2 linked regions of the Caenorhabditis elegans genome follow. The protein of the gene in region 2 interacts with the protein of the main gene of each other region in a biochemical or structural test. Each region holds a gene or a part of one and is shown on either strand. Other genes may lie near its edges.

Region 1 (7,446 bases), on a different chromosome or scaffold from region 2:
ATCCTCGATATCATTTACATTCTCATTTGGAGTGAAGACATCAAGTAGATCAATTATATTTTCATGACACATACAACGAAGAAGTCGGAGTTCACGATATGTACGACGGGCATGAATTATTGATTGAAATGGACGATTGAATTTTTTGATTGCGACGCGAGTCCCCGAGCGAGTACATTCAGCAGCACTAAAAATCGAAAAATAAAGTAAAAATCAGTTGAAATGACATACCAAACAGTTCCATATGCTCCGGTACCAATTGGAGTCAAGTTAATATAATAATTTGGAACAACCCAGACACTTCGATTAAGCTCAACGACATAGTATCCTTCTCGTGGAGTCGGATGAAGTATATGATCCATTGTTGTCTGTGGAAACATTGGCTCCGTTACCTGGAATCATGTTTGTAAGATTTGAAGTAATTATTTTGAAAAAAATATGATTTTTTTGTGTACGTAAAACCAATATAAATGTAAATATAAAAATTAAGCGGCAATTTGAACCGATTAAATGTTTAAGAGTATTTAGAAAATTGAATATTTACATTAATTCTTTATACACTTCAATTTGATAAATGAATCTAAATGAATAATAAATTAAAAGAGGCTCTGAGGTCATGGCAACTTATAGGATTAACGAGAAAGTTAAGGTAAATCACAAGTCTATGGTTTCAAAGGAAAAAATTGAGATTTTGTGGAAAAGAACATCTGAGATCGATTGTTGGATAATTAGAGATCAAGGAATTAGGGACACAAATTTGATTTTTAGTGAAATAAATAGTTTAGGGAGATACAATATAGAAAAAAGAAAATTCCACAGTTTTGAGATATTTTAGCACTTGAACACATTTGACTTCATATTTTCATTGGCTCTTCTTCCGTATCCGTACAGCTTACAAAACTTAGTCTTCGTGCCGAGTTTTGGAATAATCGAATCTCATTCCAAATTAACTCTCGCCAGTCGGATAACGTTGTTGCTCGTTCTTCAGCTGGATCAATTGTGACCTAACAAGAAAATTGGAGTACTTTTAGAGAAGCGAACTTAAATTTCGTACTATGCTATTTATTACCGTATCCATTGCAACTGGTTCATCATTTGGCACAGAGTATTCACGAAGATAGTCATGACGAAGAGCACTTGATACAGAAATTCTTCTGTCCGGATCCAAAATTAGCATCATTTCGAGAAGTTCGAGAGCATATGGAGAAGCCATTGGAAACAATGTAACGAAGTCCTGACGGATAATTGGAGAACGATTTCTGAAAGATTTTTGCGTAAACGATTTATTTTTTTTTTCAGTTCTAGTCTAGTAATTGAATTTCAGAAGTATTTGCAACACTAACTTAATATAATTTCGAGCTTCTTCTGATTGAATTTTGGACCAGAATTCTTCTTTTGGGGTACCCACAACTGACATTATCTTTGTTAGCTGATCAATATCTGCAAATTTTAAATATTTAAAGTATTAGAGGAATAGAATAAAACTCACGATCATCGCCTGGAAACAATGGTCTCCCGGATACCAGTTCCGCAAGAATACATCCAACTGACCAAACATCAACTGAAAAATTCAATATTTTGGTAACATTTTTAGAAGTAAAAAAAAATGATGTTTTTGTTTCATGTGATAAATATATCAAGTTTTTCGTTTATTTGAAAAAATAGGAAGTTGGAATAGAGAGAGAATTGCAGAAACCAGAAATACCAATATCAAGTCAAAGTTTATTCTTCATATTTTCACACGTTTTAGCATAACTACAAGAAACAGGTGAAACATGCTTTCAAAATGTCAGAAGTTAACCTCAAATCATATGATATTTAACAATTTAGTTCAAAGATTTTAGGTGACTATTTAAGTGCATAGAAACCAATTTCTTTTATTTACTCACCAGTCTGTGTATAATGCATCCAATTGAGCATAATCTCTGGAGCTCTGTACCATCTTGTTGCCACGTATCCAGTCATTTCGGCGTCTTGAGCACGAGCCAATCCAAAATCGAGAATCTTGAAAAATGAAAGAATTAGGAAAGAAAGTTGAGAAAAACTAAGAAAAACCTTGACTTCGCATCTCTCATTGACAGCAATATTCGATGGTTTTAAATCGCGATGGATAATCCCTGCCGAATGGATATACTGCAAGAATAGGAAAATATTTGAATGTAAAAGAGTATTAGGAGAAAAAGATCAAAGAATTTTTGGAAGAAATATTTGAAACAAAGCTGTTGTAAGATTTAACCAGCCTAAAACGTGTGTTTCTTCTTTGAAAAGGATGCATTAATTTTTTCAGAATAATAGTTGAATTGAAATTTTGGTGACTCATGTACTGAAGCGTTATTTGCAACTGTTCACATCAAACTGTTTAGATTAAAAAGTATTTTAATGTTCAACAAGTTAAAATCTGTTCTTATAAGAAGTTTTCCCATTCTCTGAAACAGAAAATAAATTTAAAAGCTCATATTTTAAATATATTACCACAAAACGCAAAATTCAATGTTTTTTTTAATTTTCAGATTGAAAAAAGTTTAAAAAGCTTTCAAAAGATTTTTTTTCAACAAAAAAAGAAAAAAAAAAGAAGTGTGTACTATGTAAACAATAGTCTGCCAGCATACCACTTTTATCATGAAAAATGAAACAAAACCGTAGTAGAATTGAATGTGAGGAAACTTAGAGAAAAAAGTCAAAAAATGGATAGAAAACAGCCTGTGTTTAGCCTAATGTTGTATTTGGCATTATAAAGGAGACAAGGTGTTCATCGATCACTATTTTATGAGATAGTACACGTGATTGAGATACGCAGGAGGTTACACAAATGGTATTGCATAGGTCACGGTATATAGAGTGAGAGAGTGGAATGCAAGGTAACTCTTGTTTTAGATTTGAACGTATGTCATTGGAAATATATTGTATCCAAATATCGGATAAATGCGTGTATCTTAAAAACAGATACAATTTCAGACAGAAACCAAATGTTCAGATTTCCTTGTAAATAAAACTTAAACGTTTGAGCTGGGCATTCTAACGATCTTCAAGTTGAGATTTTTGTTATGAGACTATTTCACATTAATGGAATTATCTTTAAACATTTTATGTTACCGAAAATCACATTACCGGATCGGGAAAAAATATGGAATTTTATTGAAAAGCATCGGGTTCAAGTATGAGCAAATCCGTTACCGTACCCTGGAGTAAGGCACTGTCTTACGGATAGAAAAAACTTTCAAATGTCAAAACTCGAAAAGAAACTACGTTTTAAATTCTTTAAAACTGTCGAAATGCTTCGAAATCACAATTTATGGCAAAAAATACGAAAATGCACTCTTCTTTGAATTCATTCGTATTCTGTCTAACAGAATGAATGTTCCATGTAGAACCTGTCACATTCATATATCATTTCTGCGTATTTGGTTTTCCATTTTAACTCAAGAGAGAAAACGAGAAAAATTGAGCTTTCAACTGGTTTGTCTAAAATCTTCGGATGTAATAAGAACTACGAAATTAAAAAAAAAAGTTGTGATTTATATTTTCATTCAAAAACTAATCTGTCGCATTACAGTGAAACTATAATTTTTCCATAAAAATCACTTTTGAAGTGTTTGGAAAAGCCGCTGGAGCATAACATTTGAAGGCTTTTCAGTGGCCGAAAAAAGTGGCTTTCTACATTCTCATCTCTTGACCCGTGCCTAATCGAAAAAATGCATCTATCAGAGAGAAAAAGGAAGAGAAAAAAGAATGAAAGGATGGAGTAATCGTCTTCAGAATTTAATTAGAAATTGCAGGAAAACAAGATGCAGAGACGCAGGCATCGAAACTGGGGAAAAAGTTTGAGAACACTTAAAAATAATTTATTCTGAAAATTCCCTACTGTTTTTCTATTTTCTGAAAACTTGTTTTATATCTCTCATATTGCCTTTCTAAAGCAAATCGTATTTTGTGAAATATGAGTAAAAACCTGAGAAAATACGAGAAAAGGAGATACGAAAATTATAGGGTTTGAGTGCTGACATAACCAGAAATAGGGAATGAAAATAATACCTTGAGCCCACGTAACACTTGATAGATAAGCAGTTGGATTTGTTCATCGGTCAGTCGTTGGATTTTCATAATATTTTGTAAATCGGAGCCCATCAGAACGGATACGAAATATCTGAAATTGTAAATTCGTCAGATATTTAGATTTTTGGATTTATTCGAAATTTCTTCAGTATTTTTTGAAGCGCGCGGAGTAGTGTCAGTAATTGTTGGAACGACTAAACCATTTCAAAAAATTATGTCATAGTATTTTAACTAAAGATTTGATTTCGTTTCAAATTTTTCAGAAGCCCCACTATTTTTCAAAATTTGGCAAGTTACCGAGCCTGGCTGAATAATTTCCGAAATATAAAAAAGAGTTGACAGATATGCGTTGAATTCGTTGAAATCCGCAATTATTCACTAAAAATGAAAATATACTATTTTTGTATTTGAAAATGTTTTCATTTTTTGAATTCAATTTTATTTTAACTTTATTCCAGTCTAATCTTTTCAAATTCTCAAACTTTTTCTACCTTGTTCCGGGTTTTCTATTCTCTCATCATCTAATCCTCTTTTTTCTCAAATCCCTTAAATATTCTTGAGAAGCAATTTATTCCCCTAAACAATCCGAAACTCACACATTATTCAAAGAAGATGCATCTGGATCTGGTGTGAATACATCAATCATTTCCAATACATTATCATGTTGTAGAGTTCTTAGAAGTTTCAGTTCCCGATAGGTTCGTTTTGCGTGAATTGTACTTTGAAATGGGCGAAAGAACTTTTTAATTGCAACTCGATCTCCAGTTGGCTCATATTCTGCTGTGCTACAAAAAAATGTCAGATTTTAGATATATCTCAATTTTTGTAACTTACCATACAACTCCATACGCTCCTTCTCCTAGAGGCTTCAAACTGTTGTACCATTGAGGTAAGACCCATTTCGTTTTGTTTAGTTCGACCTACAAATAATCTAACTAAAAATTGCAATGAAATAAAAAAGGAAAATATGTAGTTGAATTTATAGTTTTTTTTTATTATGAATTTATAGATTTATAGTTTTTGACAATTTATATTTATTTCCAATGATATCACCATCACATTATGTCTCATATCCTATGATCTTCGTGAATTTTGTAGTTATTTTTATTTTGGCAACTGTAAAAATGGAGTAGCGCAACAGGGAGAAGATGATTAAAAAATACTTCCATAGTGCAAAAAATGAGTAATTGTGTTTTACTTTTAAGAAAACATTGGATTTTTTTAAAGAATTCAAAAAAAAAAAAGGAATTCAAAAAAAAAATTTTGGAAGCCGACCAAAAAAAATCTCTCCTGACTTTCGTTATAAAATCATTTTTGTTCAAGTGATTAAAAAAATCTTAATTTTTTTTTCAAATAGTCCGCAAATTTGGAAATTTTCCAAAACTTTGACTAAAAATGATGAATAATCTAAAATTAACTCATTGGGTTTTTGTAATTTGCAAAATTTCTTTTAGCTCATTCTAGTATATTTAGACAATATTCACTACACTATAAAAAATCTTCTTCTGTAACTATACCTCATGATATCCTTCTGGAGTAATCTCAGGCGGGGCAGGACCAAAATCGGCAAAAAAGACACCGGGAATGCTGGCTGAATCGCCCATGGTCGCCGACATCCCCATCAACAAGACATCTAGAAAAAGTTTGAATTGAATTTGTAAATATAATTTTTACATTTTTGCACGAAAGTTTTAATATTTCGAAAAAGGGCAGACAATTGCCTACATAGGTATTCCAAAATAATAATTCAATCTTATTTCACATTTTTTAAATGTTTGAATTTTTCTGCTAATTGAATAAACGTTTTAAGCTGAAGTTCAGGATTAACTTTGTCAAGTCAAACTATGCTTTTTATATTAAAAAAATTCCAGAAATTTTCAGATAATCTCACTTTAAACATATAAGCTCGTGTAAAATATGAGTGACACGGATTAGAACCAATCTCTTTTTTATAAAACACTTCAAGCTTTTAAAACGAATTGTCAAAAGAAAATAAGTTTATTGAACTAATTAGTATGTGTAAGGGTGCAATGACAAGAATGACGAATATAAAAAAATATGATGGGATAAAAGCATGAGAGAAAAACGAGACAAAGAGATTCAGAGAAATGGAGAAGTAAAGAGAAAGAGAGAAGGAGACAGAGACATAAAAGGAAGAAGCTATAGAATGCAAGAAAATAAATACTCTGAAAGAATTTGAAAGAGAAGATGGAAAACATCATTATCACCTGTAAAGTGTTGCTATCACTGAACGACAAAGAGACGAGAAAGAGAGAGGGAAAAGAAGTAATACATTTCCGGAATTATATACAATTAATATAATTGAATGAAATCAGCGATCTGCTTCTCCAGGGATTAACGGTGATGAGCTGAGTCTTTTGTAGTTCATTATTTCCTTCCAGACGGCATCTGTAATAAAATATTTTTGCATTTGTTGTTTTTCAAATTTGCAGGTGTGCAGAATTCTATTACGTGATCTTTGAGCCTTACCTCTCCACTCGAATCTTGTTCTAGCTTGAGAGTCATCCAAGTCAAATATATGATCAGCTCTTGGTTCATCTTCTGGAAGTGAAAACTCTGCCAAATATGGATGTTGAATAGCTTCTTCCACCGTAATCCTCTTCTCTGGATCCAAAACTAAAAGCTTCTCAAGTAGATCAATAAAGTCTTCTGATGGATTATGAGCAGAAAATACATCACGGAAATTTCGACGTTTGTGAGTTGTGTAGGATTGAATTACGGCTTTAATTGCAGACGAGTTATCATTTTCAATCTTTGTCAAAAGTTCTTCATCAGGACTTCCACATAATTGAGTAATACGTTGATATTGAGCATTGGGCTCATCACCCGGAAACAGTGGTTCTCCAGTTAAAAGTTCTGCAGCAATACATCCAAGTGACCACATATCTGCCAGATTTGTGTAACTATCAATCTTCCAATAAATGACTTCTGGACTACGGTACCATCTTGTTTGTACATATTGTGTTAGAGAAGTATCTTTCTTTTCCAAGGATCTTGCAAGTCCAAAATCGAGAATCATGAGGTCAGAATCATCGGTCAACGCGAGATTTCCTGGTTTCAAGTCACGATGTATAATCTAAAAAATTTTAATAAATATATTTTCGTGTTTTAGTCATGTTCTTTTTGACTAATTATGGCCTAATCGTGCCTAATCCTCCTATATGAAATTTTATTTAATCTAAAATGCTGATATTTCTATTAAAAAAAAAAGAATGAGCAATGTTCTGTTCACTAACTCCATTGACTTACATTAGCAGAATGAATGTACTTAAGTGCACGTATGATTTGATAAATGATGAATTTGATATGCTCGTCGGTCAGCACGCGCCGTCCATAATCTCTTTGTTGCTTCAAGATCTGATAAAGACTACG
Region 2 (4,454 bases):
TCATTAATTCACTTTTCAAAGTGGGCAGACTCAAAGAATACCTCTTTTTCATGTGAAAAGCTAAAACTTCACTTGTTCCAATTTAAAAGTTCTAAGAAAATAACAGTTCTTCTTGACAATCCTAGATTCAAGTAAAGATACCTTTATCTAAAATTGAATTTCAATTTTCTCTCCTCTTTTTCCAATTTCATTCACTTTCCTTCCCATAGCCTGCATACTTTCACCGACTCGTTCCCGAACGATATGATCGTGCTAGCCACTCTCTCTTTCTCGTATCGAACTGCGATCTTTCAGTTCCCAACAAGAATACCATCATTTCAACACCTCACTTTCGCAATCAACTACCAAAAGTGCACTCTCACTCTGTTACTCTACCTAACCGTATTATCCGCTCTCCATGTAAAACTACTGAAGTAGACACAGCAAGGGACAGGCACACACTCACTGGTCATCAAAATCATCAAATGATGCAGTGAATTTGGCTGTTCTGGTTTGCAGACAAAAAAGTTTTGGAAGCGGTGCGGGAGGATAGTGGACACTGTTTGTGATTCACTTCTCGTCATTCTCCGAGCCTTACAAACAAACAAAAATAGCTCTCTCTTTTCGCTGACGATTGTCCCCCAACACGGGCGGCGGTTATTTTGGCTCTCGCCACTCTTTTTCAAGGTGCACAATCAAAAACAAACAAGTCCAGCCCGATTTCGCGAATTTGTTCATCTAGTTCAACGCATTTTTTTCATTTTGAATACATTTGCTTGTATCGTTTCCGAGTTTCTTGAACAATTACTTTCAGAATTGAGTATCATTTTTTGTGTTCAGCAGTGAAAAATAACCAAAATTTCTCTATCAGGCTTGCACTCACATTGGTCATATTTTACAGTCCTGACCTAGAGTGCGTTTATGAATTTTTCAAGACTTTTGTTTATCTAAACCTACCAATTTTTTCTTCGTTATCTTTTTCAACTTTATCTTTTAGCCGTATCTCATTATTCACTTTCCACCCAGTAGCTTCATCCTCTTGTCTTCCAATTCTCCGCAAAGTTCACCTACCCTTTTGTACTAGTGACCTGATGCGACGAATTCAACCATTGACCTCCTCCTCCTTCTCACACTTAGACACACATACATCCGTAACCCGAAGCAGCGAAAGTTAAGCATGAAAGCGAAAGGAAAGTGAAAACAATTAGGAAAAGTCGGCATCATCATGGATCGGAGGAGGCGACGCGTTGAAGTCGTTGCGAACGATGAAAAATGATTAGGAGACGGGTCGAAGAAAAAGAGAAGGGACTGCAATGAAGAGAGAAGGGGGCGAAAGTCGGAGGGGATATCCTGTTCTTCGACTGGTTTATTGTAGAGACTGAGAGTGAGAGGATCTACCAAGCATTGTCCGAAACATTGACCATGGCTAACTGGTTTGCAAGGCGCAAATAGGTCAACTGAGGAGAGGCACAACACCGCTTAATTGTTGCTAACTGCACTCTACACCTACCATATGAACACACCTGTACCAGATATACTTTGTTTTCTCACCTTTTTTTAAGTTAGTGATTTTCTGGTTGTCTAGATACTCAGGGATTAGCATTGCGTAAGATCATCTTCACTGAAACCAAAAACTGAATAATTTTTGTATACACATTGGTCAATTAAAATGGCTTACAATTAATTAATAATATCTGGAAACAGTGAACACATTGAACTTCTGATTGTGCTGAATCTCCAAAGATCGTGTCAATTTCAACTCAAAAAGACGTATTTGTCCTTACATCAAATAGGTTGACAGCTTCTTTTAACTCTACTAACTTTCCATTTCAATACACCATGTGTACTAACATTTTGAAGTCAAAATATAAATGTTGTGTCTTAATTCATTTTGAAAGATTTTGGTATTCATATTTCTTTCACCGATGTTCTTTTCTTTCAAATTTCGTACTTCTATATTCTTGATTTTCTTCTTTTGTTTGACTTTTAATCATCTTATTTTTATTTTTCAGATGGACGTCGACTCGGCATCATTGTCACCGTCCTCCAGACTTTCGGTGGTTTGTTCGGCATCCGCCGAGTTCTCATCGAGCTCGTCGGATTCGTCGAACTTTTCAGAAGGATCTCCCCCGGAATCTAGAAGGTTTGAATTTTTAACAGTTTGATGAAACTTTTGAAAGTTTAAATACTTTTCGACATTGATAACTATTTTTCCAGAAATTCCGTAAACGAAAGTGTAATAAAAGATGAACATTACTGGGAAAGGCGACGGAGAAATAACGATGCATCAAGAAGAAGTCGAGAAAAGCGAAGGCAAAACGATCTAGCAATGGAAGAAAAAATAATGTTACTTTCCGCCGAAAACGAACGGTTAAAATCTCAGTTAGGAACGACACCAATTCCACAACCATCAGTAACAGAGCCTCCAACATCTCTGATTATTCCCCAAGTTGCAAAGAATCTTTTCCCAGCGGGTCCAATAGCATCTTTGCAAGCGAGTTCAATGCTTACTGTTCCATTGCTCCAGGCAGCTTCGCATATTCCATCAATGTTGCAGCTTTGTCAACTACAGCCAACAACTATTCAGTCACCGGTAAGTTATTTTATTGAACTTGGAAATATCGAAATTGTGATGATTTAAATAAAATAAATTAACTCGTGGAAAAATATTTACTATTACAAAAACGTCTGAACCGCATATAAAGTTCCATTGTCATTTTTTGGCAACACAACTCAGATTGTCAACAATTTAATGAATACATTGACAGCTGAATGCGTGACCTAGAAAGACAGATGTCCCATAACGTTTTTCCATGTTTGTAGGTCTATGCGAGCACTCAACAACCTGCATCAACGTCAGCATCATCTTTATTCTCTTCATCGTCTTCATCTGCATTTCATCCTTTTCGACCATCAGAAAGTGCTCAGCAGAGTTTTCCATCGAGTAGCGTAATTGTGAAAATTGAACGAAGAAGTCCAGATTCATCAACTGACGTGAATATGCCTCAACCTCAGTTACAGCCTGGATCTAGCGTTATTCAACAAAGTAAGTCGTTGTTTTTGAAAGTAAAGAGCATATTTTCATTTCACTAGTATTAATTGAAACTATAATCTAAAATTTATTTCAGTCGGTCAGCCTGCTCCATCAGGTACGCCTCAACCAGTAATCCAAGCTGTTCAACAAGGACCATCCCTGCTATCTGCTCTTCTTTCACAGCGAAGACCTTCTCCTACAGTACCACAAAGCCGAACGGAACATATTTCGGGGCTAAATTCCCCTCCAAGACATACTGGAAACAAATCAGACTGTGAAAGTGTATCGTCTTCAGCATCTTTCTCTCCATCGCATTCTTCGGAAGATCACTCAAATTATTCGAACAAATCGGTAAGTTTTTTTAAAGGAATTGAAAGAAGACATTTTTAAATACATGTCAAATATTTCAAAAAAAAACTTTCAGCCCCAATATGTGGACAGACGTCGAAGGAACAATGAAGCCGCAAAAAGATGTAGAGCAAATAGACGAGCAGTATTCGAATACAGGTCACGACGAGTTCAGGTAAGTTGAAACTAATTTTAATAGAAAACATAAAATTTTAAAACTTAGATATAAATTTATTGAATCAATTATTACTTAACATTTTCAGCTCTTGGAAGGTGAAAATGAAGATCTTCGTACCCAAATCGAAACGCTAAAAGCAGAAATAGCCCACTTCAAATCAGTTTTGGCTCAAAGAGCATCAGTTGTTACTGCCCTTCACCCTTGATCCCATTCCATTTTCTTATTTTTGACTAATACGGATAGAAAGCCAATTTTCTTCGTCTTCTCGCTAGATGCCCCCCAATCAAAGTCTTTCGCTCTCAAAAAACCCTTCCTCTCTTTCTGCAATACTTCCAATCATTCATGTGCAATACTTTTTAACTTTAAATGTTTCATTAATTGTTTCTAATAAAACCAATGTGTTATTATTTTTGATTTGCTTCCTGTACAAAAAAAGGTGAAACAACAAAAAAAAGTAAAGTCTGCAAACGATTTTTAAAATCCACCCGTCGCTTGCCAGAAAACGGAAACTTTTCAGAATGATATAACTGAATCAGAAAATTGTTTTATTAATGTTTCATATATACAAATTATTATGAGAAAGTGAATTTAAAGTTGAGCATTGATAATTATTTGATTACTTTTCCATTAAACAGAACTTGTTTGCCCTTTTCGTTGATACTCCATGTAAATGTCATGTATACTTCTGAAAGGACATGAAATATAAAATATTTCCTAATTTTATGCAAATCTTGACCCACTTTTCCGTTTCGATGACGGCAACAGACGGTGGCGGAATGTCATAAATTGGCGCCTTTTTTGAATTACGATAAAAATAGAAGGCATTCAGGCCTAGATCCAGAAGTCCAAATACTAGAACCAAAAAGCAAAATACTGAAGCAACTTGGAATGTTCCAGTGGAAACTGATTGATAAC

Evidence for each region. The genes of interacting proteins can lie anywhere in the genome.
Region 1: of the proteins of atf-2 (region 2) and pmk-2, one has a biochemical effect on the other in vitro, tested with the Caenorhabditis elegans proteins (one study listed by BioGRID).

The regions. Positions count from the first base shown.
Region 1 is NC_003282.8:8,141,740-8,149,185, reverse strand, and holds pmk-2 (Mitogen-activated protein kinase pmk-2), read right to left. Parts: upstream 5,687-7,446; 5' UTR 5,676-5,686; coding exon 5,571-5,675; intron 4,974-5,570; coding exon 4,888-4,973; intron 4,839-4,887; coding exon 4,650-4,838; intron 4,145-4,649; coding exon 4,033-4,144; intron 2,134-4,032; coding exon 2,056-2,133; intron 2,005-2,055; coding exon 1,890-2,004; intron 1,562-1,889; coding exon 1,490-1,561; intron 1,441-1,489; coding exon 1,344-1,440; intron 1,260-1,343; coding exon 1,055-1,259; intron 1,005-1,054; coding exon 855-1,004; 3' UTR 538-854; downstream 1-537. Other genes in the region: Mitogen-activated protein kinase pmk-1, read right to left, coding at 1-187, 232-380; Mitogen-activated protein kinase pmk-3, read right to left, coding at 6,386-6,462, 6,544-7,150, 7,324-7,446. UniProt on the Caenorhabditis elegans protein: Responds to activation by environmental stress and pro-inflammatory cytokines by phosphorylating downstream targets.
Region 2 is NC_003280.10:8,749,995-8,754,448, forward strand, and holds atf-2 (Transcription factor atf-2), read left to right. Parts: upstream 1-1,991; coding exon 1,992-2,122; intron 2,123-2,196; coding exon 2,197-2,572; intron 2,573-2,802; coding exon 2,803-3,025; intron 3,026-3,107; coding exon 3,108-3,364; intron 3,365-3,437; coding exon 3,438-3,536; intron 3,537-3,624; coding exon 3,625-3,744; 3' UTR 3,745-3,939; downstream 3,940-4,454. Other genes in the region: K08F8.7 (MARVEL domain-containing protein), read right to left, coding at 4,167-4,224, 4,280-4,454. UniProt on the Caenorhabditis elegans protein: Acts as a transcription factor that recognizes and binds to the sequence 5'-[GA]TTA[CT]GTAA[CT]-3', a sequence present in many promoters.